4 linked regions of the Lonchura striata genome follow. The protein of the gene in region 4 purifies or fractionates together with the protein of the main gene of each other region. This does not show direct contact. Links are inferred from orthologs where the notes say so. Each region holds a gene or a part of one and is shown on either strand. Other genes may lie near its edges.

Region 1 (7,690 bases), on a different chromosome or scaffold from region 4:
TGGAGGTTCCTCCAAGAGGCAGCAGCTTTAATTTAGAACAGGGTTGTGTTGTGGGGTCGGGGTTGTGCAGAGGTGCCGGAGCGGGGCAGCCGGGAGCCGGAGGCAGGCCCTGCTCCTACCTGTCCGTGGTGTCCCTGTGCGTGTGTGTGTGTGTCAGGCTGTCCCTGTCCTCCCCGTGAGGACAAGCTGTGAGCCAGTGGCCCTCCAGCGCATCCCAGTTCCCAGTAGGGCAGGCTGGTGGAGAGTGGGATCCAGCCAGCCCCTGGGACACCATGCTGGTCACCTGTGAGGTCACTCCCTGTGTCTGTGCAGGCTGTGGATGTGGAGGAGCTTGTCCTTCCCACCCGGAACGTGTGTGTGTGTGTGTGTGTGTGTGTCCGTGTGTCTGTGCACGAGGGTACTATTTAATGTCTATATTAGCACTATCTACACACTATGGAGCTGGGGCCCTCATGTATCCTGCATTCCATGCCTTGGCCAGCAGTGAGGGGCAGGCGGATGGATCTTGCAGGGGATGCCTTGGAGAGTGGCCCAGAGCTCAGCAGGGAGAGCAGAGCTGACCCTGCAGACACCTTCCCAGCTCGGCCCATCCTTCCCATGACACAGAGCCCAGGGCAGGACCGTGTGGGGATGGAGAATGGCCGGGAGCTGACATGGGCTGGGGTGTCATGCCAAACCCAGAAGACATTTTGGGTTTTGTAGGGACGAGGCTGTGCCTGGGGATGCAGCATGTGCTGGGTGCCTCCCTGCACCCAGTGCTCCCACATGGAGATGTGCCAGTGCAGAGTGGCCCCACTGGATGTCCCCTTGTCACCCATGCCATGCTGCCACCCTCAAGGCCACGCCGTGCTGTGCTGTCCCTGTGTGCAGACCATGTGGCTGGAGGGACAACAGCTCCAAGTGACGGGCAGCAGGTCAGGGATGCACCTGGGGTTATTTCCTTCCTCCGTGGGTTTTAGGGAGCTGCTTCCTGCTGCCGTGTCCATGGCAGCAGGACTGTGGGACCGAGGGTGGCACACCTGTGGCACTGCCATCACCATCAGCCCTGCCTCCCGCTGCTTGTCCCCAGCCGTCCCCTTCAGTGTTCCTAATAAACCGAGACTGGTGACAGCTGGGGACCTGTGCTTTGTATTGCTGGTGCTGAGTGCAGACAGGGCTGTGACCCAGGGGCTGCACCTGTGGGGACACAGGGCTGGGGCTGAGCGAACGGACACCTGTGCAAGTGTGGGCTCTGGATTTGTGACCAGCCCACCTTGGGGACAGCTGCTGGAGGCTGCGCTGTCCCATGAAGCTCTGAGCCCTGCCCCAGCTGCAGGAGGCACTTGGAGAATTATACTAGGAAAAAAATTGAGGATGAGATTTATCCCTTCATCTGCTGAGAAATAAAAGAGAAACTTCCCTTTCTCTAAAACTTACTCAGACTTCATTAGCTCAGACAAAAATATACAGACATTGGGTGAGCCCTGCTGGTAGACCAAGTGTGTATCGCTCTTCCCCCATCCCTGCCAGTCCTCATGCCTCCAAATCAGCAGCACAAGGTCAAATGTTTCCTGGGAAGTGCTGGCCTGCTCTGGGCCCTCACCTCCCTCCCACAGTCACAGGTTGGTGCCAGGCTCAAGGTTCCCCCTAGCACTGGTGCTTGGCCACACCGCGGTGCCAGCAGAAAGATCTGTCGCCAAATCCAGCGAGATCTCTGGAGCATGTTGGGATCCTTTCCTCAGACCCGGTCCTAAGGTCCTGGGATGCACCAGGAAGTCCTTGAGCAGCCTTCTGCTGCTACCAGAAGGTCCAGGGGGGCTGCATCATCTCGTAGGTGGGAATGCTGGTGACGTTGACAGGAATGGAGATGACGGCCCAGGGGAGCCCGTGCTGCTCCAGGGAGCGCCTGATCATGTACCTGGGGATGGAGGTGACAGGGTTGGAGAGCGGAGCCACACCAAGCCCAGAGCACAGCCCAGCTCCACGTGCCCCTTGACCGCCACTGAATCCACGTGGATGTGGCTGCCACAGCCTGGCAGGGCCACGCCGAGCAGCGGGCCCTCCCTGCCGAGAGGGACGAGGCTGTCACCGCTGCCAGGAACGTCCCACCCTGGGAAGCAGCCCGGGCACGTACCCGTCCCTGCCCAGCAGGAAGAGCGCGGGGATGTCGGCCGTGCGCCGGGAGCTGTCCTGGATCATCTCGATGTAGAAGCTGTCGTTGTCGTAGGCGTTGTCGGCGATGATGACGGCGCGCCCGCCGTGCTCCTGGATCACGCGGGTCTTGGACAGGAAGGAGCAGCCCCTGCCCCACAGAGCGACCACGCCGTCACCCACCTGGGGTGGCCGCAGCGAGCTCCAAAGCTTGCTCCAAAGCCTGCACCTGCCAGAGCTGGCCTGGGCACACCCAAACTAGGGATTGTCTCCCTGATTCCACACCTCCTCCAAACCCCGCTCCTCCGAGTCTGTATTTCAGCTACAAGCCACCCACATTCCTAAAAAAAAATTAAGTAAAATCCTGGAATGGTTTGGGTTGGAAGAGACATTAAAGCCCATCCAGTGCCACCCCCTGCCATGGCAGGGACACCTCTCACTGTCCCAGGCTGCTCCAAGCCCCAGTGTCTAGTCTGGTCATGGACACATCCAGGGATATGAGGCATCCAGAATTTCTTTGGGCAACCTGTACCAGGGCCTCACCACTCACAGAGAAGAGTTCTTTGCAACTGTCTAATCTAAACCTATTCTCAATCTGAACTCGGGCAGCATTTTTTCTACCTTGCCACAGGCTAAAAAATACAAGATGCAATTCTCCAGGGTAGGAACAGCCTTGCATTTTCCCAGTTTATCTATGTGGGGAAAGCCCCAGGAAGATCTGGAAGTGATGGGGAGATGTGGCCAGGGCTCCCCTCCTGCCCAGCAGGGTCCCCCAGCAGCTGCCACCATGCCAGACCTACCCCCTCTCCACCAAGGCGATCTGGTCCTGGATGAAGACCCCATTGTTCAGCTCTCCGCAGGCCTCCGGAGGATCCGCGGGGACCAGGTGGATCTGGTCATACCTTGTGTTCTCCGAGGAGACAGGCAGGGGTGAGCCGGGGGGACGGAGCTGCTCCCCCTCCCACGCCCTGCTCATCCCTGTGGGGGCTGCTCTGGGGGAGATTTTGGGTTCCCAGGCTCAGGGACGCTCAGAGCCAGCCCTGGTGCCAGTCCCTGACTCTGGCATCCTGCTGAGGCCAGGGATGCTTGTGGAAGAGCAGTGAGCTCCATTTTAATCAAAACCCCAAAGCACTGAGTCCCAGCGAGGAGCAATATTGGCATGGAGGGACCCAAAGTGGCAAATTCAGTTTTTAATACTTACAAACACGCCACCGAAATCCTTGGCTGGGGTGGCAGTGAAGATGTAGCGGATGTCTCCAGGGCTCAGCACTTGGAAGTACAAATATTCATGGATGCGTAATCCTGGGGGTGAAAAGACAGAGCTGAGGCAAGGGAAACTTAAAGGCAAAATCCCTGAAAAAAGGGAGAAGTCCGTTATCACTCCTGAACCACCGGGGAGAGAACACGCCCTCCAGCAATGCCAAATCCTGGCTGGGCCCAGGTCCCAAAATTCCCCAAAGGTTTTGGGGTGTTCCAAGGGCAGATGTGGCAGTTCCCAGGGACTGACAGGGGATGGGGATGGGAAAAGCACCGGGACTGGGTGCTCAAGGGGAAGGGAAAATGCTGCTGGATCATGGAGGGGAGAGAGGTGATAGGCACCCAGACCGAGGGGAACAGAGGGGAAACCCACCAGGATCACAAATGGGAGGGAAAACGCACTTGGATTAGGATGCAGCAGGAAATGCAATGGAGCTGGGGCGCAGTAATGGGAAAAGCACCTGGATCACAGGGAAATCCGAGGGGCTCAGACCCCACCGAGAGGAAATGCCGCAAGATTGGGGTGCTGGGTAGGGAAACTGGGTCGAGGTGCACCCAGGGAATTGCAGGAGAAACGCACCCGGATCGGGATGTAGGAGGAGAAACGCAATTAGGTGGGGGCGCACCGAGGGGAAATGAATGCCCCGTATGGGTACGGGAGATGAACGGCAACGGGACCGGAGTGTCGGGAGGGGAAATACACCGGGACAGAGACACGGGAGGGGAACGGCAAGGGGCTGGGAGGGGAAATACACCGGGACAGAGACACGGGAGGGGAACGGCAAGGGGCTGGGAGAGGAAATACACCGGACAGAGACACGGGAGGGGAACCGCAGCGGGGCCGGGGTGCCGCGAGGGGAAATACACCGGGATGGCGGGGCGCCGGGCGGGGAGGCGGCCGGCCCGGGATGCCCGGGCTGTGTGCGCGGTGCGGGCGCGGGGCCCGGGTGGTCGCGGCCCGGGTTGTGATCGCTGTCCCCGCTCCGTGCCTCCCTCCGTCCCTCACTCACCGCGGGCCGGGCAGCAGCAGACGCAGAGCCAGAGCCAGAGCCAGAGCAGCATGGCTGCGCCCCGCCCCGCCCACCGGGCCGCCCCGCGCTCCCCATTGGTGCATGGTCTTACCGCGCTCCTTCCTATTGGTCTGCGCCGCCATCAATCACGCGCGAGCCGGCGCGGGCAGCTCGCTGTCACCGCGGCGTTCGCTGCCAAATAGTGATCTATTCAATTTCCCACGCTGCGCGCCCTCTTCCCTCCCTGCCAAATAGTGCTCCTCCCCGGCCCGCCCCCGGGAAGGTTCTGGGCGGGCGCGGGGCATTGTGGGGCCGGGAGCGAGCAGCCGCCGCGATGATGGTGAGTGAGCCCCGCGCCATCCGCCGCCATCCGCCGCCATCCGCCGCCATCCCCGCCGTCCCCGCCGTTCCCGCGTCCCGCCGCGCTGCCCGGCCCGCGGGGCCCCCGCCGGCCCCCAGCGAGCGGCTGCGGCGGGCCGGGCCGGGCCGGGCCGGGCCGGGCCGGCGGGGATGGAGCGCGCAGGCCCGGCGGAGCCGCGCCCGCCGGAGCCGGGCTGCGCCGGCCGCGGGCCCTGGCAGCGGCAGCCCCCGGCCCGGCCCGGCCCGGCCCCGCCGGGATGCGGGAGGTGGATGTGTCTCCGGGCTGATTGCCCCGGGGAGGTGGATGTGTCTCCGGGCTGATTGCCCCGGGGATAACCGGTTCTGTTTCCCTTGGGATCTCCGCGCTGTGGGTGTGGAGGGAGGCTGTACGTTCTCTTCCACAGAATAGTCACGGTGGAGATCGCTCAGTTCAACCCCTGCCTATGCAGGGTCACCTGGAGCAGGTGACACAGGAGCGTGCCCAGGTGGCTTTGGGATGTCCCCAGACCCTCCCTGTGCAGCTGTGCCAGGGCTCTGTCACACTCCATGGAAAGTTCTTCTTCATGTTGAGGGGGAACTGCTTGTGTTTTAATTTATGTGCTGTTGCTGGGCATCACCAAAAACAGTCTGGCACCAACGTGTTGGCACTGCCTCGGATAGATTTGTGTGGATTGATGGGATCCCTCTCAGCCTTCCCTTCTCCAGCCTAAGCAGGCCCAGCTCCTCAGAGGAGAGATGCTCCAGACCCCGGAGATGTTTTTTGTGCCCATCAACCTCTGCAGTATCTCCTTGTGCTTGTGACTCCTCAGTGCAACAAGAACAGTTTAGTTCTGCTGTGTGCCTGCTGAGCTGGTTCAGCACTTAATTAGTTCAGTTTAGTTCTGCCTCTGAACTGGCTGTTCCGAGCCAGTGCATCCCAAATTTGGGCAGTGTTTGGACTTTGCCCGAGCTCAGCCTTTGAGATGATTGAATGGTTTGGGTTGGAAGGGGCCTTAAGACCCACCCAGTGCCACCCCTGTCATGGCAGGGACACCTCCCACTGCCCCAGGCTGCTCCAACCCCAGTGTCCAGCCTGGCCTGAGACACTGCCAGGGATCCAGGGGCAGCCCCAGCTGCTCTGGTGCTTTGGCCACTCAGACTTGTTTGGTTCCTCACTTCTCTGTAATTCCTGCAAGTTCTGTCTCCTCCAGGCCAGCATCAGATCAGCGCCTCGGTGGGCCCCGCCGCCCCAAAAACCCGTTATTTTTAAGACGATTCCTGTGTGGTCCCCGAGCCTGTGGCGGAGCAGTTGTGTGAATTCCCAGCGGGATGGGTGGTGTGGAGCAGGGGAATTGCAGCGAGGCCGTGTTTTAGGTCCTGCTCCTGCACACGGGTGCCTTTTGGGCCGGCAGGAGTTTGTTCTGGGCTGGGCTAACGGCCGTGCCGCGCTCCTCCCTGCAGCCAACGCCGGTTATCCTGCTGAAGGAGGGCACGGACACCTCGCAGGGCATCCCGCAGCTGGTCAGCAACATCAACGCGTGCCAGGTGATCGCCGAGGCCGTGCGCACCACGCTGGGCCCGCGCGGCATGGACAAGCTCATCGTGGACGATCGGGGTGGGTGCGGGCCTTGGCCCTGCGCGGGTTAAAGCGGCTTTGTGTCTGCTCAGTGCCAGCAGCCTCACCCTGCCAGGCTCAGCTCTGCCTCGGTGGCCCCTTACAAAGCAGGGCTTTGCCTGCCTGACAGCTGCCAGTCCAGCCTGAGGATTCCTGATGGCTCCCCAGGAGCTCCTGAGGAGATGCAGAGCCAGGGGGGTTGTGCTGCCTTGGGAAGGCTGGCCTAGAACAGGGGCTGGACAGAGCTGAAGATTAAAGCAGGGATTTATTCCAGGATCTCCTCATGGATCCACCTTGGGCTGCACCAGAGCCCAGCCAGGGCTGCACCCAAATGACCCAAAATGGTCCCAAAATGCACGAGCACTCCCGGGGCTCTCCCTGGGATCAGTTCTGCTGCATTGGCACCTTGGAGTTCATTGTCCCATTCCAGCTCCAGCCCATCAGTCCCATCCTGCTGGTTTTTCTCTCTCCAGCCCACGGTGTTTGTGCTCCTGGGCTGAGGTTTGGATCATTGTCCTTGGTGCTCAGCTGGAGCAGGAATTGTTTTGTCCCTGCTTTCTGATGAGAGCTCATCAGTCCCTAAAATAAAACCCAGACCTGCACACTAAAGCAGCACAGAACCTGAAAAATAGAAAAGCAAAACCTGAGGCATCAGTTGGATGCATCCAGTGTCAGTCTGTGCCAGACAGGAGAAGCAGAGAGGCTTGAACCTCTCTTCAGGTATTTTTGGTCATCTCTATTTTTAAATGAGGCTCATGATACCTGTGGAGTAACTCAGCAGTTGTGGCTGAGTGTGAGGTCAGTGGATGTTCCTGGGCTGATTTTTAATCTATTTTTTGAAGTGTGATTTAGAGATGAACTTTGTGGTCACTTTGAAAAGACTGGTATGAAGTCACCATAATAATAAATAATAAATAATAATAATTACTTACTACTTTTGTTACTGAAGGGTGGCGTAAAAAGGTTTAGTATTGTCTTTAAGTAGCTTTTCCAAGTAGGAACTGTAATAAATCCTTGTTCAAAAGGATAATTCAATTTAAATTTCTCTTATGACAACTAATATGATTTCTAGACTCTTTCTTCATGGGAGTCTCAGACTAGAATATGGTTTTATCTGTCTAGGGAGGCCTTTGAGAAGGGGGAAAATGAATTCCAAACCTTTGTTGGTGTGGAAAGTTGTTCTGCTCTCAGACTGACTTCACTGAACCTGCTCCACAAATGGGCTGACAGGAGTGAGTTCTGGTGGAGCAGAGGAGGCTGCTGAGATTGCTGAGAGCCCCCAGAGACAGGGCTTTACCCCTGCCAGTGCACAGCTGCCTTTAACTCCCTTTTCTGCACG
Region 2 (7,015 bases), on a different chromosome or scaffold from region 4:
GGGGAGAAAACCCCAAAATCGGGGGGCAAATGAGGGAGAAACCCCGACAACGGTGAGAAAACCCCAAAAACGGGGGGATAAACCCCAAAACAGGGGGGAAACCTGAAAAATGGGGGGAGAAAACCCCAAATAGGGGGGAAACCTCAAAAATTCAGGGGGCCCCAAAACTGAGGAGATCCCCAAAACCCTGCACCAAGCCCCAAAATCTGCTCCCGAAACTCCGAAACCACACCCGACAGCTGGAGCTGCTTCCCCAGTGCTCCCAGCCCTCCCAGTCCCCCCATTCCCAGTGCCCCCCATTCCCCCCAGTCCCCCCATTCCCCTATTCCCAGTCCCCCCAGTCCCTCCCAGTGCCCCCAGTCCCCCCAGTGCTCCCAGTCCCCCCCATTCCCCCATTCCCCCAGTCCCTCCACCATTCCCCCATTCCCAGTCCCCCCATTCCCATTCCCATTCCCATTCCCATTCCCCCATTCCCATTCCCATTCCATTCCCTTCCCCCATTCCCATTCCCCCATTCCCATCCCCATTCCCCAGTCCCCAGTCCCCATTCCCATTCCCATTCCCATTCCCATTCCCATTCCCATCCCCGTTCCCATTCCCATTCCCATTCCCCCATTCCCATTCCCATTCCCATTCCCATTTCCCCATTCCCATTCCACTCCCACTCCCATTCTCATTCCCATTCCCATTCCCACTGCCATTCCCATTTCCATTTCCCCATTCCCATTCCATTCCCACTCCCATTCCCATTCCCACTCCCATTCCCATTCCCATTCCCAGTCCCCCCATTCCCCATTCCCCCCATTCCCCCCATTCCCCCATTCCCCCATTCCCATTCCCATTTCCCCATTCCCATTCCCATTCCCATTCCCCAGTCCCCCCATTCCCCCATTCCCATTCCCATTCCCATTTCCCCATTCCCATTCCCATTCCCCCATTCCCATTCCCATTCCCCAGTCCCCAGTCCCCATTCCCATTCCCACTCCCATTCCCATCCCCATTCCCATTCCCACTCCCATTCCCATTCCCATTCCCCATTCCCCCCATTCCCAGTCCCCCCATTCCCAGTCCCCCATTCCCCATTCCCCCCATTCCCCATTCCCCCCATTCCCCTTCCCATTCCCCCGTTCCCATTCCCATTCCCACTCCCATTCCCATTCCCATTTCCCCATTCCCATCCCCATTCCCATTCCCCCATTCCCCCATTCCCATTCCCATTCCCACTCCCATTCCCATTCCCACTCCCATTCCCACTCCCATTCCCACTCCCATTCCCACTCCCATTCCCATCCCCATTCCATTCCCCCACTCCCATTCCCATTCCCATTCCCATTCCCATTCCCATTCCCCCCATTCCCACTCCCATTCCCACTCCCATCCCCATTCCCAGTCCCCCGTACCGCTGCACGAGCAGCGCCTGCCGCTCGGGGGGGATCTGGAAGAGCAGCTGCTGCAGCAGGCGCGGCGGCGCGTGCAGGAGCCGCTCCAGCATCTGGAAGGTTCTGTAGTGGTCGCGGGTGTCGCTCTGCAGCACGGCCACCGAGGTGCCCTCGCGCTCCAGCACGCCGCCCCGCAGGCGGCGCGCCACCGCCTCGGCCACTGCGGGAGCGCGGCCGTCAGGGACACGGGACGGGGGACAGGGGACAGCCAGGGGACAGCCAGGGGACAGGGGACAGCCAGGGGACAGGGGACAGCCAGGGGACACGGGACGGGGGACAGGGGACAGCCAGGGGACACTGAGACAGCCAGGGGACAGCCAGGGGACAGCCAGGGGACACGGGGACACGGGGACACGGGGACACGGGGGACCCCGGGGCCGTACCCGAGTGCCCGTCCAGCCAGAGCCGGTACACCTCCTCGTCGATCAGCGTCGTGTTCCCCACGAACACGTCCAGGTCGCTGCTCATCCCTGCGGGGCAGAGGTGCCAGCGTCAGCAGGGTCACCGTGTCACCGTGTCACCGTGTCCCCAACGTCACCGTGTCCCCAACGTCACCAGGGTCACCGTGTCCCCAGTGTCACCGTGTCACCGTGTCCCCGGTGTCACCGTGTCCCCATTGTCACCAGGGTCACCGTGTCCCCAGCGTCAGCAGGGTCACCGTGTCACCGTGTCCCCAACGTCCCCAGCGTCACGACTGTCACAGTGTCCCCGGTGTCACACTGTCCCCGGTGTCCCCGGTGTCACGGTGGCCCCGCGGCCCCAGACACGCTGGCAGGGAGACACCAACCCCAAACTGGGCCAAACTGGGACCCCAGACCCAAACTGGGACCCCCCAGACCCCAAACTGGTACCCCAGACCCAAACTGGGACCCCCCAGACCCAAACTGGGACCCCCCAGACCCAAACTGGGACCCCAGACCCAAACTGGGACCCCCAAGACCCAAACTGGGACCCCAGACCCAAACTGGTACCCCAGACCCAAACTGGGACCCCAGACCCAAACTGGGACCCCCCAGACCCCAAACTGGGACCCCAGACCCAAACTGGGACCCCCCAGACCCCAAGCTGGGACCCCAGACCCAAACTGGGACCCCCAGACCCCAAGCTGGGACCCCCCAGACCCCAAGCTGGGACCCCAGACCCAAACTGGGACCCCCCCAGACCCCAAACTGGGACCCCAGACCCAAACTGGTACCCCAGACCCCAAACTGGGACCCCAGACCCAAACTGGGACCCCCCAGACCCCAAGCTGGGACCCCCCAGACCCCAAGCTGGGACCCCAGACCCAAACTGGGACCCCCAGACCCCAAGCTGGGACCCCCCAGACCCAAACTGGGACCCCAGACCCAAACTGGGACCCCAGACCCCAAACTGGGACCCCCCAGACCCCAAACTGGGACCCCCCAGACCCAAACTGGACCCCAGACCCCAAACTGGGACCCCCAGACCCAAACTGGGACCCCAGACCCAAACTGGGCCGTACCGGGACCCCCCGCCCCTCCCCCACCCACCGGCGCCGTCCCGCGCGCTCCCTCCGCGGCGCAGAGCGGTGACGTCACGTGTGCCGGATGTGACGTCACGGATGGGCGCGGCCGCGCCGCTCCGGCCCCTCCCTCTTCCGGCCCTCCCGGGCCCCCCCCAGTAAAAACCAGTAAAACCAGTAAATACCAGTAAAACCAGTAAATACCAGTAAAACCGGTCCCTGTCCCAGCCCCCAGGTCCAGTCCCAGTAAGAACCAGTAAAACCAATAAGAACCAGTAAGACCAATAAAACCAGTAAGAACCAGTAAAACCAGTAAAACCAGTAAAACCAGTAAGAGCCGTCTCTCCCAGTTTATTGGGGGTGGGGTCGCGGGGGGGGCCGGGGCCCCCCCAGTCCCTCGGTGGGGGCGGGGCTGGTCCTGGAGCTGGGGAGGCGCTGGGGAGAGAAGGGGGGAACTGGGATGGACTGGGATGGACTGGGATGGACTGGGAGGGACTGGGATGGACTGGGAGGGACTGGGAGGGACTGGGATGGACTGGGAGGGACTGGGAGGGACTGGGAGGGACTGGGAGGGACTGGGAGGGACTGGGAGGGACTGGGAGGGACTGGGATGTACTGGGATGGACTGGGATGTACTGGGATGGACTGGGAGGGACTGGGAGGGACTGGGATGGACTGGGATGGACTGGGAGGGACTGGGAGGGACTGGGATGGACTGGGAGGGACTGGGAGGGACTGGGAGGGACTGGGATGTACTGGGATGGACTGGGATGTACTGGGATGGACTGGGAGGGACTGGGAGGGACTGGGATGGACTGGGATGGACTGGGAGGGACTGGGAGGGACTGGGAGGGACTGGGAGGGACTGGGAGGGACTGGGAGGCACAAGCACCCCCCAGCACCACCCAACCCCAAACTGGGACCCCCCAGACCCAAACTGGGACCCACCAGACCCCAAACTGGGACCCCCAGACCCAAACTGGGACCTCTGACCCAAACTGGGACCTCTGACCCAAACTGGGACCCCCCAGACCCAAACTGGGACCCCCCAGACCCCAAACTGGTACCCCAAACCCAAACTGGGACCCCAGACCCCAAACTGGGACCCCAAACCCAAACTGGGACCCCCCAGACCCCAAACTGGTAGCCCAAACCCAAACTGGGACCCCAGACCCCAAACTGGGACCCCCTGACCCAAACTGGGACCCCCCAGACCCCAAACTGGGACCCCCAAGACCCAAACTGGGACCCCAGACCCCAAACTGGGACCCCAAACCCAAACTGGGACCCCAGACCCCAAACTGGGACCCCCCGACCCAAACTGGGACCCCTGACCCATACTGCCCCCCCCATACTGGTCCATACTGGTCCGTACTGGGAGCCGCCGGTGCCGCGGGAGCCGGGGGGGCCCGGGGGGGCCACGAGTCCGAAAAGGGCCTCGGCCAGAGCCTGGGGGTCAAAGGTCACAGCCGGACCCCAGACCCCGGGGGGTCGGGGGGGTCGGGAGATATTTAGGGGATATTTGGGGGGATTTTGGGGAGATTTTGGGGGATTTTTGGGGGGGATTTGGGGATTTTGGGGGGAATTTAGGGGATATTTTGGGTTGATTTTGGGGGGTATTTGGGAGATATCCTGGGGATATTTGGGGGATATTTGGGGGATATTCTGGGGGATATTATGGGGATATTCTGGGGGATATTTTGGGTTGATTTTGGGGGGTATTTGGGAGATATCCTGGGGGATATTCAGGGGGATATTTGGGGGATATCTGGGGGATATTTCGGGGATATTTGGGGGGATATCTGGGGGATATTTCAGGGATATTTGGGGGATATCTGGGGGATATTTCAGGGATATTTGGGGGATATCTGGGGGATATGTGGGGGATATTTGGGGTATATTTCGGGGATATCTGGGGGATATTTAGGGGATATTTTAGGGATATTTGGGGGATATCCGGGGGATATTTCGGGGCTATCTGGGGGATATTCGGGGGGTCTGGGGCGCGGTCCCACCTGCAGCGCCCGCAGCAGCCGCGTGCCCAGCCCCAGCACGGCCCCGGCCGAGGCGGCGCCGAGCGCGGAGACCCCACGGGCGACCCCACGGGTGACGCCCCCGGGACCCCCCCCGGCAGCGGCGGCAGCAGCAGCTCCCGGAGAGCCCGCCCTGGGGGGACAGGAGGGTACTGGGGGCACTGGGGGCACTGGGGGGACTGGGAGGGGACTGGGAGGGGACTGGGAGGGGATTGGGGGGGAACTGGGAGGGACTGGGAGGGACTGGGAGGGACTGGGAGGGGACTGGGAGGGACTGGGAGGGGATTGGGAGGAACTGGGGGGGAACTGGGAGGGACTGGGATGGACTGGGAGGGGATTGGGAGGAACTGGGAGGGACTGGGGGGGAACTGGGAGGGACTGGGAGGGACTGGGAGGGACTGGGAGGGGATTGGGAGGAACTGGGAGGGGATTTGGAGGGACTGGGAGGGGATTGGGAGGAACTGGGAGGGAACTGGGAGGGAGTGGGATGGACTGGGGGGGGGGATTGGAAGGATAACGAGGGCACTGGGGACAGGGGGACATTGGGGCCACTGGGGATACTGGTGCCACTGGGGACAGGGGGACACTGGTGCCACTGGCACAGGGGCCAGCGGTGCCAGCGGCGCCACTCACAGAGCTGCAGCACGGCGTGCACCGGTGCCACCCCGCCCAGCAGCCCCGGCAGCTGGTGACACCGAATGTCCCGGAGCCACTCGGACACGGCGTAGGACACGACCCGGCCCAGCCCCAGCAGCCTGGGGGACAGGGGGACACGGGGGGACACGGCACGGCGAGTCTGGGGTCACGCAGGACCCCAGGCCCCCACCGGCCCCTTTGTCCCATGTCCACCCCAGTGTCCCCCCCTGTCCCCAGTGCCCCCCAGTGTCCCCCAGTGTCCCTCTTGTTCCCAGTGCCCACCCGACCCCTCTGTCCCCATTGTCCTCCCGGTGCCCCCCATTGTCCCCCCAGTATCCCCCAGTATCCCCCACTGTCCCCCCGTGTCCCCGTGTCCCACTGTCCCCCCCATGTCCTGCTGTCCCCCCGTGTCCCCGTGTCCCCCCGTGTCCCCGTGTCTCCCTGTCCCCCTGTCCCCGTCCCCGCCGCACCCCTGGCGGTGGCAGAGCCGCTTCAGCCGCAGTTGGGAGCAGTTCAGCCGCGCCAGCCCGATCAGGATCCCGGCCAGGGCGCCCTGGGACACGGGGACAGGGGGACACGGGGACGGGGGACAGGGAGGGGTCACAGGGAGGGGACAGCACGGGGTCATTGGGGAATGGTGGCACCGGGACACGGCCACGGCTGTCACCCCCTGTCACCCCCTGTCACCCCGTCACCCCCTCACCTGCTCCATGGTGACGCGCTTGCCGCGGTAATCCAGCCAGACGGGGACATCGGCCATGAAACGGAACTCGCTGGGGACAGAGGGACAGGGACAGGGACAGACAGACAGGGACAGGGATGGGGACAGGGACACACGGACAGGGACAGGGGAACAGGGACAGGGACAGACAGACAGGGACAGGGACAGGGATGGGGACAGGGACAGATGGACAGGGACAGGGATGGGGACAGGGACAGAGGGACAGGGACAGGGACAGAGGGACAGGGACAGGGGAACAGGGACAGGGACAGACGGACAGGGACAGAGGAACAGGGACGGGGACAGACGGACAGGGACAGGAAGAGCGCCGTCAGCCTGGGACAGCCCAGTCCCCCCCAGTCCTCCCAGTTCCCTCCCAGTCCCCCCCAGCCCCCCCAATTCCCTCCCAGTCCCCCCCAGTGCCCCCAGTTCCCCCCCAGTCCATTCCCAGTCCCCCATAATCCCCCCCAGTTCCCCCCAGTGCCCCCAGCCCCACCGGAAGTAGATCGGGGGTGTCTCCGTTTGGGGGTCCCGCTCCGGGGGCGGCTCCGGCCGGGGGGGGTCCCCGACCCCGGGGGGGCCTGCAGGAGGAGGGGGGGAGGGGAACAGTGAGGGGACCCCCAAAGCCGGGAGCCCCTCCCCCCCCAGGGCCCTCCCCCAGCCCAGCCCCTCCCCCCCGGCCGCGGTACCGGGCGGGGGTCCC
Region 3 (7,149 bases), on a different chromosome or scaffold from region 4:
TCATGCAGCTCTGCAGCTCACAGCCAGGAGTGAGGGAACGGGGACAGGGACAGCTTGGGTGTACAGAACAGAGCATAGGGACAAGCCTTCACACTTTTGAAAGGAGGCTGTGAAGTTGTGGATAGATTTAGCAAATCCAGCAAGCAGCAGCAGTTCTTGGAAGGGAAAGATTTGGGGAGTTCCCTTGCTCCTTTATCTCAAGCAAAGTTTACTGTAGGAATTTTTGAACCAAAATGCAAGTTCCTCTTGTATCCTTTGGATATCAGAGATTTCTGCTCTGCCTTGAATATCATCACCAACACTTCAGGAGCTCCCTAGGCTGTGCTGCACACCCTGCTCATACCAACCTTGGTGCTGGATGTGCTGAACTCCAGTGGGACCTCTCCAAAAAGCACATTTTCCAAGATTCTCCCATGAAAATTATTAATTTATTAATAACAGCATTTAGTGCAGTACCATGTGCTTCAGGGAAGAGAGTTTGATCCATTCATTCCCAAATCCTCTTGCAAACAGAGCACAACATTTCCCTGACTCGAGCACAGGGCCCTTCTGTGTACAGAGAAATAGGATTAAATCAGTCAGTTCTGTGTCTTTTAAATGCTCCGTGTCATGCAGGAGAACCTGAGTCATTCCCCAAGGCACACAGGGCTGCTGGCAATGTTTGCCTCTTGAGGAGCAGCAGCTGATTTTGCTGTAATTGTGAACATGCAGCAAGAGCAGAGGGTTGTGTCACCCAGCAGGGCAAGCACATGGCAATGCAGGAAATACTGCTGCTCTGCTCCAGCAGCAGCCAGAAGGTAACAGGACCCCCAGCTGGAACCCACTGAGGAGATTAAAACCATCTCAGGCTGCACTGCTGGTGGCTCTGAGAGCTGGAGCCAAACCTGTCTCATGGGTTTGGGATGCAGGAGGAGAGCAGCGGGGATGGATGGATGTGCCAGCAGGGAGCAGGAGTGGTCCAACATGTGAATGTGGTTAGGAAGGGTTTCATCATTCCCTACTCATGGAACACAAGCAGGGGATGGCACCTGCGGGTGTTTTCTGAGACAGACCAAAGAGGAGGGAGAAGGTGAACTCAGGAGAATGTGTACTCCCAAAAACTCTTCATATGGATGTGGTGAGTTTGAGGCTGAGCTCCAAAGAGTGCTGGTGTGCCCCCAGGTGTCCTGATTTCAGGCGGGAATTTAAACGGGGTAAACTGTGATAGGAAATTTGGGACAAGAATTAGAGCTTGTTCAGGAGAGAAGGGACAGTAAGTTCTACATGCACATTGCACTTCTGTGTCATCCTCCCAGACTTCCAGAGATTATCCTGGTCCCTGTGAGGTCCCTCGGACCTCCATCCCCACCCTGCTTAAATGTCTACAGCAACTTTTGGTGCCTTATCTTAATACCAGTAGTTCCTCCAACCAGAAGCTGCACTTCTGGTTCCCAGCCTAAATATACTTATGACCTGTTTATCTTTGCTTGATTCAGGGCCGTGATTTTGCAAAAAATGTAACAGCCAGCCCACATAAGTACTTTAAAATGCTGTCTCATATCAGATGCTTAGACCAGATCCTGCAGTTCTTGCATGGCGAAAAATCCTTGTGACCTTGGTGACTCTTCTCCCCAAATAGCATTGGAATAAGGATTTGCAGGCTGGTCCTGTTTCACACCAGCTCCTTATTCCAGCAGCCCCACACTGCTCAGACATGTATCCAAACAACCCAGGGCTTCCTTTAAGGTAGAGTAGAAGCTCCAGGAGCAAAATGAGTGTGAGTTGAGTATTGGTGATTCAGAGTAACATTTTACATCTGTGCAATAATGTCACTGAAAATGCAGAACTGCCTGCCTTTCTCTTTATCCAGTGATTTCGTGGTGGTTAAGGTTGGAAAAGGCTTCAGCCAGAACTTGAAGCTGCTGTGCAGCAGAAGGGTGGGGAGTCCAGCCTTTCTCCAAAACATCATCCCTGTGTAGGAAGGAGAGAACACACATGAGCTTGGGCTCCCTTTGCTCCTTGCTCCAGGGATTCCCTCGCTGCAGAAGACAGGGAGAAAAAGCTTTTCAGGGTTGTACCCAGGCACTGCCTTTTGTGGGAGTGATGCTGATGTGCCACTCGTCTGTTTTAGCACCAAATTCTCCGAAACACGGCACTGTGCTCACTGTACTCAAACACTGTGAGTTGTCAGACACAGATAAAAGCTCCCCAACATTAACAGCAGCAACACTCCAACTGCTAAATTCAGCTTTGAAGTTAGCAACCCACTAAGCCATGGAGGCTGCTCCTTTCTGCACTGACTCAGTGGGACGATTTACATCCCACAGCTATTTTTACAGGGAAAGAATGAGAAAAAAGCCGCACATTTATTTTTCAAAATCCAATCTTGGGTTCTAAAGAATTGTTTGCAGCAAGCCTAGATAGGTTTCCATGCCTATTCATCCCCTGGCTTATTTGATGAGCTTGCCAGCAGGAAGGATTTTAATTCCTTTTTATCCCAAACTATTTTTTCCACAGCTGTGATATGTAATGGTTCTGCCAAATAATTTATGCTCAAAATCTGACCTATATGGAACAGTATAAGATGCTGAGCATGTTCTTGGGATTTAAGGGCAGAGTTGGTATTTCACTGTAGGATTTTTAATGGAAGCCTACAAGAAAACATTGTCCTACACCTAGTTTAATCCTATTATTATTACTATTATTATATGTTACTAATATTATAAGATGTGTTTATGGCCCACTTGCAACAGCATACAAAAAAGAATCTTATGAAACAGCCATATGAAAAGACATAGAACGTGTACGTGTTTTATAGGACAGTTTCAAAACCTATCTTTTACTCAGTGCCCATATTTCAGGCCATATCATCAGACATCAGTTTGAATGTTGGTGTAGACTGCAAGTAATGTTAAGAGTTGCCATATGGCTTTTTAAAGCCTATTTGGCAGAAGCATTCACCCCTCTAAGGGTCCAGTGTTGCAAATACAGTAATGGCAACTTTCAATGGTAAACATCTCAAATGGTAAATTCGGTCTGTACTTTAAAATATGTACTGTGTGGGCAAAATCTGCTTGGGAGCACAAGCTGCTTCAGGGCATGAGAGGTGGGAAGGATGGGAAGGCTTCGTTTCGGTTTCAGGGGAACACAGAGGCCACCAGCACCCACACACCGCTGTTCTCAGATCCAAATGCTTCATCACGCCCAGCGCAGCTCCCAGACCTCCCCTCCCAGGCTCAGTGGCACGGACATTGCCAGTGCACATCAAAGTCCCCTGAGGAAAGGAAAGGGCAGAGCATCATCCCGAGATGTGACAGACACGGGTTCAAGTGCCTGAGGGGAATGTTTATCCCGTGCAGTATAAACACATCAGTCCGGGAAGCAACGTATTGCGCAGAGATGCCTTCAGTCACTTTGTGGAGATAAATACTAAGTTTATATCCTCCCAGCCCGGGTCTGCCTTGCCCATATACGGCCCCAGGATCGGCACTGCCTTGGCTTTGCTTCAGGAGCTGGAAGCGTGCGGATCCATCCCTCCGCACGGGCTTCGGGGCTGCCGGTGGGTGTCAGGGCTGCGCCCCGGGGTCGGCGGATTGGGTCCAGCTCAGCCCTGCGAGCCACAGGCTCAGCTCCGAGGCTGCCGGGATGGAGCAGGAGCATCAACGACCTCCATCCGCTTTTACAGCAGCGCTTTGACCTGCTCCAACGCCTGCGATGGGTTCAGCAGATGCGTCCTCCAGCCTCCAGGAAAGCCAGCATCTCTTGGGACACCAGTTCTGCTGATGGTTTGGCTGGGGACATGAGGGGAGGAGAAGTTTTCGAAAAGTAACGCAAAAGGACACGGCGGGGGGGTGCACGGCGGCACGGTGGGCTCCCGTTTGCAGCGGGGAGGTCGCGGGGGGCCGGAAGGGAGAGGCCGGGAGGGCCGGGGCCGAAAGGGAGAGGCCGGGGGCGCCGCGGGGCTCCGGGCGCTGCCCCCGCCGGCGGCGCCAGCGCGGCCGCGGCCCCGGGCCCTGGGCGGGGCCTGGCGCGGGCGGCCAATGGCGGCGGGGCGGCCGCCGGGCTCATTTGCATTCGGGCGCGACGCAGCCAATGGGCGCGCGAGGCGCCGGCCGCGCTGCGCTCCAGCCGCCCCGCCCGGGCGGCCGCGGCTCATTCGGAGAATGGCTGCGGCCGCGGCGTGCGGCTCCCCGCCTCCCCGCCCGCCCCGCGAGCAGCCGCCGCGCAAGCGGGGCGACTCCCGGCGGCGGCAGGCCGCCCTCTTCTTCCTCAACAACATCTCCCTGGACGGGCGGCCGCCCTGCCCGCCCGCCGAGAAGCCGCCGCTGCCCGCCGGCCCGGGCGACGGGGAGGAGGCGGCGGCAGAGCCGGCCGGAGCCCCCCCGCGGCTGCTGCCCCCGCCGCCCGTATGCCAGCCGCCGCCCGCCCTGCTCCTGCCCGGCGTGCCCGCGCTCGCCGCCGCCGGAGCCAAGGGGGATGCGGACCCCGCCCGCGGGGGCATCTTCCTGCCGCAGCTGCTGCTGGGCGGCCCGCTGTGCCCGCCGCCCCCGGCGCCGCCCGCCCTGCCGGGGATGCTGGCGGCCCCCAAGCCGGGCGCCCCGGGGCTGCTGAGCCCCGCGCCGAGCGCGCCGGGCGGCGGCTTCGCGCTGGAGGCGCAGCGGCAGAGGTGAGTGAGGGGACGGGGCTCGCCGGGCCGGCCCACACCCCCGCCGCGCTGCCCCCGCGGGGCGTGGGAAGCGCCGGACGTTCCCAGGGCCCCGGGCCGGCCGGCGGCTCCGGGCGGGGGAGCGGGGCATGGGAAACGGGCGGCCCCGGGCACAGCGGCCGTGGGAGGCGGCGCCGGCCCCGGCCAGAGGCGCGCGGGGGTCCGGCCGGGGAGCGCTGCCTCGGCAACGCCGCTCGGGCCCGCGGACGAGAAGGATGCCCCGGCCGGCGCGGCGGCGGATGAGGGGGATCCGCGGAGGGGATTTCTCTCTGAGGCTCTGTCTGCAGGTTTGCGGTACCCTGAACCCTGCCTTCTGCTTTTCCCCAGCCCAGTTTCTGCATTTCTCTGTTTCCAGATGAAGCTGGCGGGGGTCACTGTTAGGCAGAACGCTTCCACCACTGCTGGTGTCGTGCCTTCTCCTGCTCTTGTGCTGCTTGTCTCTGCAACTGTGTATTAATGAATGCTTGTGCACAGGGAACTTGTCAACCTCGCGGGAGGATGCTCTGGCCTTCAGAGCAGGATTACCATTGCATTTCCAAGGGACTTCTGTCAGGCTGAAAGTGTTCCTTTTCTAATCGACTGGAAGGCAGGTTCTTGCTCAGATCTTGGGGATTTGAGCTCTGAAAGAACTCTTTTCAGGCTGTTTCTTGCATAAACAGCTCTGTAAAATGAGCTGGCCCTCTGAGCTGCACATAGGCAGCAGTACCAAAGGCTTTAAGTCTCTGTGGTCTACAGTGGCTTCAAGAGCTTTGTCAATGAGCTGAAATAGAGATGTTGTCAGTGCTTTAAAGCTGGGGAGTTTGCTAATGCAGTTGATGTGTATCGCACTGTGGAGATGTCCTGTGTATCCCCAGCTTGGGGGTTCAGGTGAATTTGAAGAGAAGCAGTTTTGACTGTCAGTAATGTGGGGGGGTCCTCATGTGTTCTCCTTTCTGGGGTGTTTTCCTCTTGAAATGTTATTTACCACTCATTGCTTTTCTTGTCATGGAACAGACCTTTCCCTCCTTGTTTCTGAAGAAATTGAAGCTGTGGCTGCCAGCTGGGTGCCCTGTATTGTGCAGTTGTGTGCCGCTAGTTGAGCAAGAAAGCCTGGAGTGAGGGTGTTGCTGTGGAACAGTTCCTGCCTAGCACTCCTGGTCCACAAAAGCCAGCACAGGAGGTGCTGTGTCATTTAATTTCATTGCTTTAATATTGTAGGCAAAGCTCTTGAGGGCAAGTTTTGCATCAGGTGTTTCATAGCACAGTTACCTTTGTGGATGTGGCTTTCGTTGTGCCTCTGTGTGCAGACTTCTGGAGAGATGATCCTTCCCCTTCGCATGCCACGTCAATAGGACACTAAGAAAATATTCTTAGGATCTTCTCATTTGATGTCCTTCCTGCCTCTTTCTTTGGCATCAGGTTTGAGCTGTTCCACTACGGTAATTCTAATCAATCTGGCTGGAAAGAATGATGAATCAGAAATACAAGGTAGAGAGGAATGCTAGAAGGCAATCAAGGGAATCAAAAGGATTCTGTCTGAGTAATGACAAAATAAACCGTGATTTTTTTGCTTGGAAGATTTGGCTGGAAGGGTATATTGTATTGATCAGTTTGCATACTACTTTTGAGGGGGATTAGAGTGAGAGTTCATCCAGTTTTCAGCTTGAAAGAAAAAGGACATCCACTGAAACCATCAGACAGAAGAGTCACATCTTTACATGGACACACTCATCTTCTGACACAAGGACAGTTTTGTGCTGCCTGTGGAATGTTAGAGCCAATGTACCTCATGCCAGTCACACTGGGCACAAGAGTGGGTGAAATGGACTGTCCCTCTCTAATGACAGTTTCACTGTCCTCTTACAGGGTGACTGACTTACCGCTTTATTTTTCCCTGGACAGTTTCATGCTTTGGTCCGTGACAGAATCTCTCTCCATCCCCACTGAGCGGAGGCATCTCTTCTTGTTGTAACTACACGAGGAGTGATTCAGGGAATTGCAGGAGGAATGTCCTTCAGGACACTGATGCTTTTACTCTGTCCCCTTCTGTGTTGGATGAGCTGTTTGCAAACTAAGATTCCAAAGTCAGCAATTACAAAATGTATCCCCTTTTATTAGGACTTGGGAATCTGAGAGTTGTTTTGCCTTACAGCGATGTTGCTACTCTAGATCATTAACTGCCTGCATCATGTAGAGGTACAGGCAGGTGAAGTTGGAGGGAAGGGGGAAGTGGAATCTGCACTGCCATCCTGGACTTTTCATCCTTGGTATCCACTTCAGGCAGCTGCTCTCTTCAGAATCCTTTTTGAGTCACTGTCAAGAGCAGCTTTGAATTTTCCTCAGATGCAGGAGGATCACTGGCTGCAGGGTCTCCAGACTCACTCTGCCTGTGTTCCCTGACCAGTCTTGTGCCATGTCTGGGAATTTCATCGTGCTGGGGCTTGCCCTGATCCATGGAGATCTCTGTCTCCTATCAGCATCTCTAT
Region 4 (7,344 bases):
CATGGCTGCAGTGACACCACCTTGCCCTCCTCTCGGGCAGGAGGGTCAGGACACACAGCCGGGGCCATGGCGGTGACAGGACCGTGCCGGTGCCGGTGCTGGCACCGCCGCCGGCCGCGCCCTTCGCACGGCCCCGCGGCACAATGCGTGCTTGTGAGAGGCCGGGCCGCCCCGATAAACGGGGCAGGACCGCGACCCCGGGTGGCTGCCAGCCCTGGCCACGCTGGGAATGACCCGTCGCTGCCACGGGCGCTCAGCGCCGCTGCCACGGCCACTCCCGCGCCGCCGGAGTCACATTCCTGGGACCGGCCCTGGCCTGCCTGAGCTGCTGAGGCGATTAGAGGGCTTGGCCCTGGCCCCGCACTGCCTTGGGGCTGCCCGGAGGGCTCACAAGCTCCTGGACCCAGCCTGTGCCGGGACCCACCTCTGGCACCACTGGCACTGCCAGCACTGGGGCAGCGGGCCGAGCACGGCGGGAAGTGGGACCATGATGCTGGCATTCACACCGGGATACACGTGTCCACACCAGGACAATTATGTCCTGGACAGCCTGTCCACACCAGGACAACCACATCTGTCCTGGGACAATCACATCCTGGGCAGCCTGTCCACACCAGGACAATCACCTCCCCACTGAGACACCCACGTCCTGGGAAGCCAGGTCACACATCCACAGCAGGATAACCCCGTCCATAGCACAGAGCCAAAACCCCATGAGAAGAGGCAGGACTGGGAGTGGGGGACCCCCATGGCAGCAAACGTCCTCCTGCCCACTCTCCCATGGCAGTGCCCCCCTTAGCAGTAGCACCATGACTCCTGCCAGGACATCTCCTGCCACCACCATGTCACCTGGCAGATCCCTGACACGGGCTCAGTGCACACACATGTGCCGCCCATGCTTGTGCCCACACTGGCATCAAGGCTGAAGGTGACCCCCGTAGCACGTTCCCCGGGCTTGGTGGAGACACCAGCTCCCCTTGGTGACAAGGAACAGCACACCGTGCCTGTTGTAGCCTCCCTGCTGGCAGCACCTCCAGCACGGCATGTGCCAGGCAGAAGGAATGGCTGGGGCGAGGCCAGCACAGCTCAGGCTGTGCCCATCGCCTGGGCAGACATGTCCATGGAAGAGGGAAGTCAGGAGATCCCCAGATCCCTGCACCCCGAAATGGAGGAGGCCCAGTGGGGGCCCCAGCACTCTGCCCACTCCCAGAGACAGGAGAGCCCCAGCTCCCTGCAGCCCCTTGCTCCCTGCCCCATCTCACCTAGCTGCTCCTGGAAACCCCTGGGTGTCAGTGGCACCAGTGTGCCCCCAGATCCCACCCAGCAGAAGCACTTGGGATCCTGCACCCCCTCATCACCACGGGATGGAGCTGGGCCAGACACCACTGGCTCCCACCCAGCAGTTTCACACACAGAAACTTCAGAAACCAACACCAAAAATATTCACCTCCCCCTGCCCAAACCCCTGCCCACGACCTCAAAACCACCGGAGGTGGAGATGAGTCACAGCTCTGTACCCACATGGTGCCACTAGCACTGGCATTGCCACTGTCACCAATGTGCCAGGCACCCGCCACCACCTCTCTGCTGCCTCAGGGAGGCCAGGACCCCCCCACACAGCACCAGACCCGCAAGAGCCTCCTGCCATTGCCGGCGGTCCCCACCACTGTCCCCGTGCCAGCCCCAGGAGGGGACAGGCACAGCTGCCCCCTGCAATCCCGTGGGGACACGCACCAGCACCACAGCTCGGTGCCTGCAGGATGGGATATCCTTGAGGGGTGGTCTGGCCACAGGGACAGCCCCTGTGGCACCTGCGGCAGGGCTGGAGGCCGCCCTGCACCCTGGGCTGCCGGAGCCCAGCGGGGAGGTGTCGCTCCCGCCGTGCCACCCCGGCCCCAGCACGGGCTGCACCCCACTCACCCCATCGCCCGCCGAGCCGGTCAGCCGGGGCTCCGGCAGCTGCGCCGCTCCCGCCCCCCAGGCCGGGCTCCTGCCCGCGGGAAGGACGCGGGACCCCGGCACGGCAGGGGCGAGGCCCGTCCGGAGCCGGCCCGCGGGCAGCGGCGCTGTGCCCGGAGCTGCCGAGCGCTGCCCGCAGCTTTATCCCGGCTCCGGAGGAAAACAACCCGCGGGAGCAGCGGCGGCAGCGCGAGCCTTTGTTCCGCGGAGCAGCCCCGGATCCGATCAGGGAAGCTCTGCCAAGTCCTTCGCCGTGGCTCCCGTGGCGACCCCACTGCCGCCCAGGCGTCTTTGGGGACACAGGGGACACGACCCCCTCCGTAAGCGCAGGGTCCCGCCTCGGGCGAGGGTTGTGTCCCCCCACCCTTGGCCTGACGCCCCTGGAATGCCCCAGCGCGGCGCTTCGGGCAGCCAGCCCGGCCCCTGCGGCCGCCGCGTCCCGTCTAATGACAGGCTGCGGCTGTGGGGGCTGAAACGGGGACAGCGCGGGGACACGGCTCCCACGGTCCCTCCCTTCCGCCGGCTGGAACGGCGCTCCCGGGCAGGGTGGCACCTGGGTCCCCCTCAGCCCTGCGCAGGGCACGGGGTGCCAGGAGGGTGCCCCAGCCCATCCTTCGGAGCCTGCCGGCAGCCCCATCTCCTGCAGCGTCCCTGCCCGGCCAGGACAGGTGACAATGCAGGTACAGACCTACCCGAGCCCCGGGAACGGAAGGGCTGCCGGCAGGGAGGCGAGGCGCCGGTGCCAGCGGATCGTTAGAACGATCAAATCCCGGTTTTTTTGGCAACCGCTTGAAGTGGTGCAGCGACCCCGAAGGGCTCGACAGCAGGTTCCCAACTGGAGCCCTCCTCCGTGGGGGGACGGGGCAGGCACGGAGCCCTTCCCGCAGCACTGGGAGCTGCCAACAGAATTCCACCACGGAGCAATCCCAGATCCCGTATCAAAACCAAAAGGGTCTCTGCAGCTGGGGAGAAGCAGCCACGGGCAACGCAGCCCCCAAAACCTGCTCCCACCCCAAACCTGCTGCCGCCTCCCCGGGGACACGCTCCCGGGCCATGGGAGCCCACGCTCCGTGGGAGAGCCCCGGCTGGAGCCGTGCCCGGCGTTGCTCAACCCCGGATGGTTTCGCAAGGGGCAGTGCCCCGGCACCCGGCGGCTCTCAGCGGGCACCGCGCGACTCCCCGGGCCCCCGGACCCTCCGTTCCGGGGCAGGGTGGCTGGATGAGCCCAGACCCCTTCCTGGCCCTGTGGAGCCCTCGGACCCCTCGGCTCCCGGGAGCGGGGGGCTGCAGGGTGCTCCGGACCTGGGACAGGGACACACGGCGGGTCCCCAGCCCCGTCACTCACCTGCCGAGGGCTGCCGGGCTCAGGCGCCGCGGGGCAAGCGCATGGAGCGGCCTCGCTGTAAGAGAGGGACGATGGTGGATGCGGGGTCCTGGCTCCCCCGTGCCCCCGGGATCCAGCGTCACCCCGAGAGCAGGCTCCGGGGGCACCTGGGACCGCCCGGCGCGGAGCTCCGGTGGCGGCGGAGAGCGGCCGAGCTTCAACGTCCCGGGCAGCATCGCTGCGGGCCGGGAGGGGTCCCGGGTGTCCGGGAGGGGTCTCGGGGTGGCCCTGGGGGATGCCCGGGCTGGGCATTGCTCCACCTGGAGCCGAAGGAGCCAAGGCACCCGGAGCATGTGCCGGGAGAACCGGAGTCCCGGGGCACGGCACAGCCCCCCTGAACCCCCCCAGCGCGGCAGGGGCCCCGGGGAGGAACTGGGAGAAGCACAGCCGCGGCCGCGCCGGGACCTGGGGTTGCCAGGGCGGGGCAGGACGGGACCGGGACCGGGATCGGAGCTGCCGCGGGCGGGCGGGGAGGCAGTGGAATGGAGGGGGCTCGGTGAGAGAAGCGTGCGGGGACCGGGGACAGCACCGACTGGGACGGGCGGCACCGGGAGGGTGGGGACACTGGGACGGGACCAGGAACGGGACCGGGACCGGGACCGGGACCGGACCAGCCGTGCTGAGCCCCGCCAGCCTCACCACCTCCGTTCACGATCCCGGTGCCGGTGCCGCTGCTTACCGGACGGTCCAGCCGCGCCGGGCGGGTCTGCGCGTTCCCGCGGGGCGGAACGGCGGGAGCGCGCCGGGGCGGGGCGGCACCGGGCGGGTCCGCACCGCTTCCGGCACCGACCCAGCGAGCGCGGAGACCGTCCCCGCAAGGGATCCCCACCGGGCGCCCGCGCAGCGGCGCTGTCCCGCGGGGGGCGGCGGGGGGAGCCGGGGGTCCGGCGGGGAGGCGGCGGGCGGAGCCGGGGCTCGAACCCGGAACCCCGGGGCGGGGGCGGGCCCCGCGGGAGGCGCGGCGGGGCGGGGCCGCGCGGGGCCGCCGGGAGGCGCGGCGGGGCGCGCGGGGGCTGCCGGGAGGCGCGGCGGGGCCGGGACCGGGACCGGGACCGGGGCCGCTGCGGGGCCGCGACCGATCGCGGCGCGATGCAGAAATACGAGAAGCTGGAGAAGATCGGCGAAGGTGCGGCAGGGCCGGAGCCGCACGGAGGGAGCCGGTGCTGCCGCGGGGCCCGGCGCTGCTGTGGGGCCCGGCGGCGGTGTCGGCACGGGTACCGGGGCCTCGGTCGTGACCCCGTTCCATTCCCGCAGGCACTTACGGGACCGTGTTCAAGGCCAAGAACCGGGAGACGCACGAGATCGTGGCGCTGAAGCGAGTGCGGCTGGACGACGATGATGAGGTGAGGGGGGGGCCGGGGCTGGGATCCCCCCGGGACCCCGGGACGCCCCCCGGGACCCCCGGGAGCCCCGGCTCCCACAACCCGCGTGTCCCGCAGGGGGTGCCCAGCTCGGCGCTGCGGGAGATCTGCCTGCTCAAGGAGCTCAAGCACAAGAACATTGTCAGGTACCGGGGGCTCCGGGCGGCCCCGGGGGCTCCGGGCGGCCCCGGGTACCGGCGTCGCGGCTCGGGGGATGCTCCTGCCCGGTGCCCCGGGCCCGGCCAGGCGCTGCGGGGCTCAGGAACCCCTGCCCTGCAGGCTGCACGACGTTCTGCACAGCGACAAGAAGCTGACCCTGGTCTTTGAGTTCTGCGACCAGGTGAGCTCCGGGGGCACGGGTGTCCGGGGGGGCACGGGGGTCCGGGGGGGTCTCTGAGGGTCACCGCTCCCGGCCCCCCTCGCTTCCCTCAGGACCTGAAGAAATACTTTGACAGCTGCAACGGGGATCTGGACCCCGAGATTGTCAAGGTGGGTCCGGGGGTCCCGGGGAGCCCCCGGGGTGCCGGCCCTGCCCCGCCCGGTGCCGCGGGCTGGCTGACGGAGCCCGCCCGTGCCCCCGCAGTCGTTCATGTACCAGCTGCTGAAGGGCCTCGCCTTCTGCCACAGCCGCAACGTGCTGCACCGGGACCTGAAACCCCAGAACCTGCTCATCAACCGGGTGCGGCGGCGGGAGCACGGGGAACAGCCGGGACCGGGCACGGAGCGGGGCTGCGCTCGGGAATGGGGCTGGCTGGTTGGCTGTCTGTCTGTGTGTCCTGGGCAGTCACACCTGGGAGCGGGGCTGTGCTCAGGGGTCACACTTGGGAATGGGGGCTGCCTGCCTATCTGTCTGTCTGTCTGTCCTGGCAGCCACACCTGGTGTCTGTCCAGCCACAGCTGCAGCTCCATCTCTCCCCTGTTCCCAATGATGAGAAAGGCAACAGGGCCACAGTCCTGGGGTGCAGGGGATGCAGGTGGGGCCCCCCACGCTGACCCCGTCTGTCCCCCCAGAACGGGGAGCTCAAGCTGGCGGATTTCGGGCTGGCTCGGGCCTTCGGCATCCCTGTGCGCTGCTACTCAGCCGAGGTGAGCGGGGGCTCCTGGGGCTGCTGGGGCTGCTGGGGCCCGGGGTCCTGGCCCTGCCCAGCTGGCTGGGGGTCCCGTGTCCCGGTCCCAGTGTCCCTGTCCCTCCGCAGGTGGTCACTCTGTGGTACCGGCCCCCCGATGTTCTCTTCGGTGCCAAGCTCTACTCCACCTCCATTGACATGTGGTCAGCCGGGTGCATCTTTGCAGGTACACTGGGGGGCCAGGGGAGCGGAGGGGGGCCTGGGGGGCCATGGGGGCCTGTGGGAACCACCCCTTGTCCCCCCAGAACTGGCCAACGCAGGGCGGCCCCTCTTCCCGGGCAACGACGTGGACGACCAGCTGAAGAGGATCTTCCGATATCCTTGGGAATGGGGAGCACCAGAATGGACGGCCTGGGAATGGGGAGCTCAGGGAATGGGGAACCCAAAGGAATGGGGACTCCTCCTGGGAATGGGGACTTCCCCTGGGAATGGGGACTCCTCCTGGGAATGGGGACTTCCCCTGGGAATAGGGAATCCCCTGAGAATGGGGAGCACTGTGCATGGTAATCCCTCTGGAATGGGGGATTGGGGAAATCCTGGAATGGAGAGCCCTCGGGAATGCAGACCTCCCCTGGGAAGGAGGAGCCCTGCAGAATAGGAATCCCCTGCGGAATGGGGAGCTCTGAGAATGAGGATCCCTTGAAATGGGAACCCCCTCGGCTGGGCAGGGGGGCAGGGCCAGGTGCTGGGTGCCCCCGTGGTGGCCCTTGACTGTCCCCACGCTGCTGGGGACCCCCACGGAGGAGCAGTGGCCGGCCATGGCCAAGCTGCCGGACTACAAGGTGAGGGCAGGGGGCGCGGGGGGTCAGAGGAAATAAGGGGGTCTGGGGGAGCTGGGGTCACCTGTGTGTCCCCAGCCCTACCCCATGTACCCAGCTACCACTTCCCTGGTCAACGTGGTGCCCAAGCTGAACGCGACTGGCCGGGACCTGCTGCAGGTGAGACCCCTCCCCTGTGCTCCCCTTCCCGTGCCCCCCACCCTGGGTGTGTCTCCCAGCCTGCACTCCCCTGCTCCTGTCCCACCGCAGCGTCCCCCACACGTGTCACCCCTGCCCACCCCGTGGGGGCTCTGGCTCCTGGGCGTGGGTGCCCTCCCGCCTGCAGCCCCCTGCCCGCCTGGGTGGGCTGTGGGAGGGGGAGGGTCCGTGCTCTCCCCCCTGAGCCCCCCGTGCCCCCCAGAACCTGCTCAAGTGCAATCCGGTGCAGCGGATCTCGGCGGAGGAGGCCCTGCAGCACCCCTACTTCACCGACTTCTGCCCCCCCTAGGGCCCCCGAGGGGGCAGCCCCAGCCGCCCAGCCGGGTGCCAGCCCCCCGACTGCAGCCCCCCCAGTATTTATTAGGACCTGCCCCGGCTGCGGGGGGCTGGCGCGCCCGGCCCCCAGCCCCGGGGGTGGATGAGAGGGCTGGGGCTCCCCCGGGGCCACGGGACTCACCGGTGCCAGGGCACTTCCCAAGGGCACGGGAACCCGACAGGGCTGGTGGAGGGGCAGGACCCTCCGGGACCAGGAGCAG

What was found.
Region 1: the proteins of CDK5 (region 4) and CCT7 purify together in Homo sapiens (affinity purification with mass spectrometry; 3 studies listed by BioGRID and IntAct, with this or other methods). This does not show direct contact. The link is inferred for Lonchura striata from reciprocal best matches to the Homo sapiens genes CDK5 and CCT7.
Region 2: the proteins of CDK5 (region 4) and FIBP purify together in Homo sapiens (affinity purification with mass spectrometry; 7 studies listed by BioGRID and IntAct, counting the BioPlex papers as one, with this or other methods). This does not show direct contact. The link is inferred for Lonchura striata from reciprocal best matches to the Homo sapiens genes CDK5 and FIBP.
Region 3: the proteins of CDK5 (region 4) and CABLES2 purify together in Homo sapiens (affinity purification with mass spectrometry; 6 studies listed by BioGRID and IntAct, with this or other methods). This does not show direct contact. The link is inferred for Lonchura striata from reciprocal best matches to the Homo sapiens genes CDK5 and CABLES2.

Annotation. Positions count from the first base shown.
Region 1 is NC_134606.1:733,361-741,050, reverse strand, and holds the start of CCT7 (T-complex protein 1 subunit eta), read left to right. Parts: upstream 1-4,687; 5' UTR 4,688-4,731; coding exon 4,732-4,737; intron 4,738-6,197; coding exon 6,198-6,351; intron 6,352-7,690. Other genes in the region: PRADC1 (protease-associated domain-containing protein 1), read right to left, coding at 1,777-1,897, 2,114-2,281, 2,931-3,040, 3,332-3,432, 4,398-4,449. UniProt on the Homo sapiens protein: Component of the chaperonin-containing T-complex (TRiC), a molecular chaperone complex that assists the folding of actin, tubulin and other proteins upon ATP hydrolysis.
Region 2 is NW_027461085.1:11,879-18,893, reverse strand, and holds the start of FIBP (acidic fibroblast growth factor intracellular-binding protein), read right to left. Parts: upstream 3,002-7,015; 5' UTR 2,951-3,001; intron 1,910-2,950; 5' UTR 1,908-1,909; coding exon 1,823-1,907; intron 1,600-1,822; coding exon 1,401-1,599; intron 1-1,400. Other genes in the region: autophagy-related protein 2 homolog A-like, read right to left, coding at 4,770-4,790, 5,027-5,088, 5,589-5,710, 6,062-6,144, 6,295-6,351. UniProt on the Homo sapiens protein: May be involved in mitogenic function of FGF1. May mediate with IER2 FGF-signaling in the establishment of laterality in the embryo.
Region 3 is NC_134619.1:5,155,542-5,162,690, reverse strand, and holds the start of CABLES2 (CDK5 and ABL1 enzyme substrate 2), read left to right. Parts: upstream 1-4,142; coding exon 4,143-4,645; intron 4,646-7,149. UniProt on the Homo sapiens protein: Unknown. Probably involved in G1-S cell cycle transition.
Region 4 is NC_134603.1:156,839,581-156,846,924, reverse strand, and holds the start of CDK5 (cyclin-dependent kinase 5), read left to right. Parts: upstream 1-4,336; 5' UTR 4,337-4,347; intron 4,348-4,359; exon of another isoform or gene 4,360-4,384; 5' UTR 4,385-4,432; coding exon 4,433-4,469; intron 4,470-4,597; coding exon 4,598-4,686; intron 4,687-4,782; coding exon 4,783-4,850; intron 4,851-4,983; coding exon 4,984-5,044; intron 5,045-5,136; coding exon 5,137-5,193; intron 5,194-5,287; coding exon 5,288-5,383; intron 5,384-5,715; coding exon 5,716-5,790; intron 5,791-5,900; coding exon 5,901-5,997; intron 5,998-6,076; coding exon 6,077-6,146; intron 6,147-6,552; coding exon 6,553-6,613; intron 6,614-6,688; coding exon 6,689-6,769; intron 6,770-7,010; coding exon 7,011-7,097; 3' UTR 7,098-7,344. UniProt on the Homo sapiens protein: Proline-directed serine/threonine-protein kinase essential for neuronal cell cycle arrest and differentiation and may be involved in apoptotic cell death in neuronal diseases by triggering abortive cell cycle re-entry. Interacts with D1 and D3-type G1 cyclins.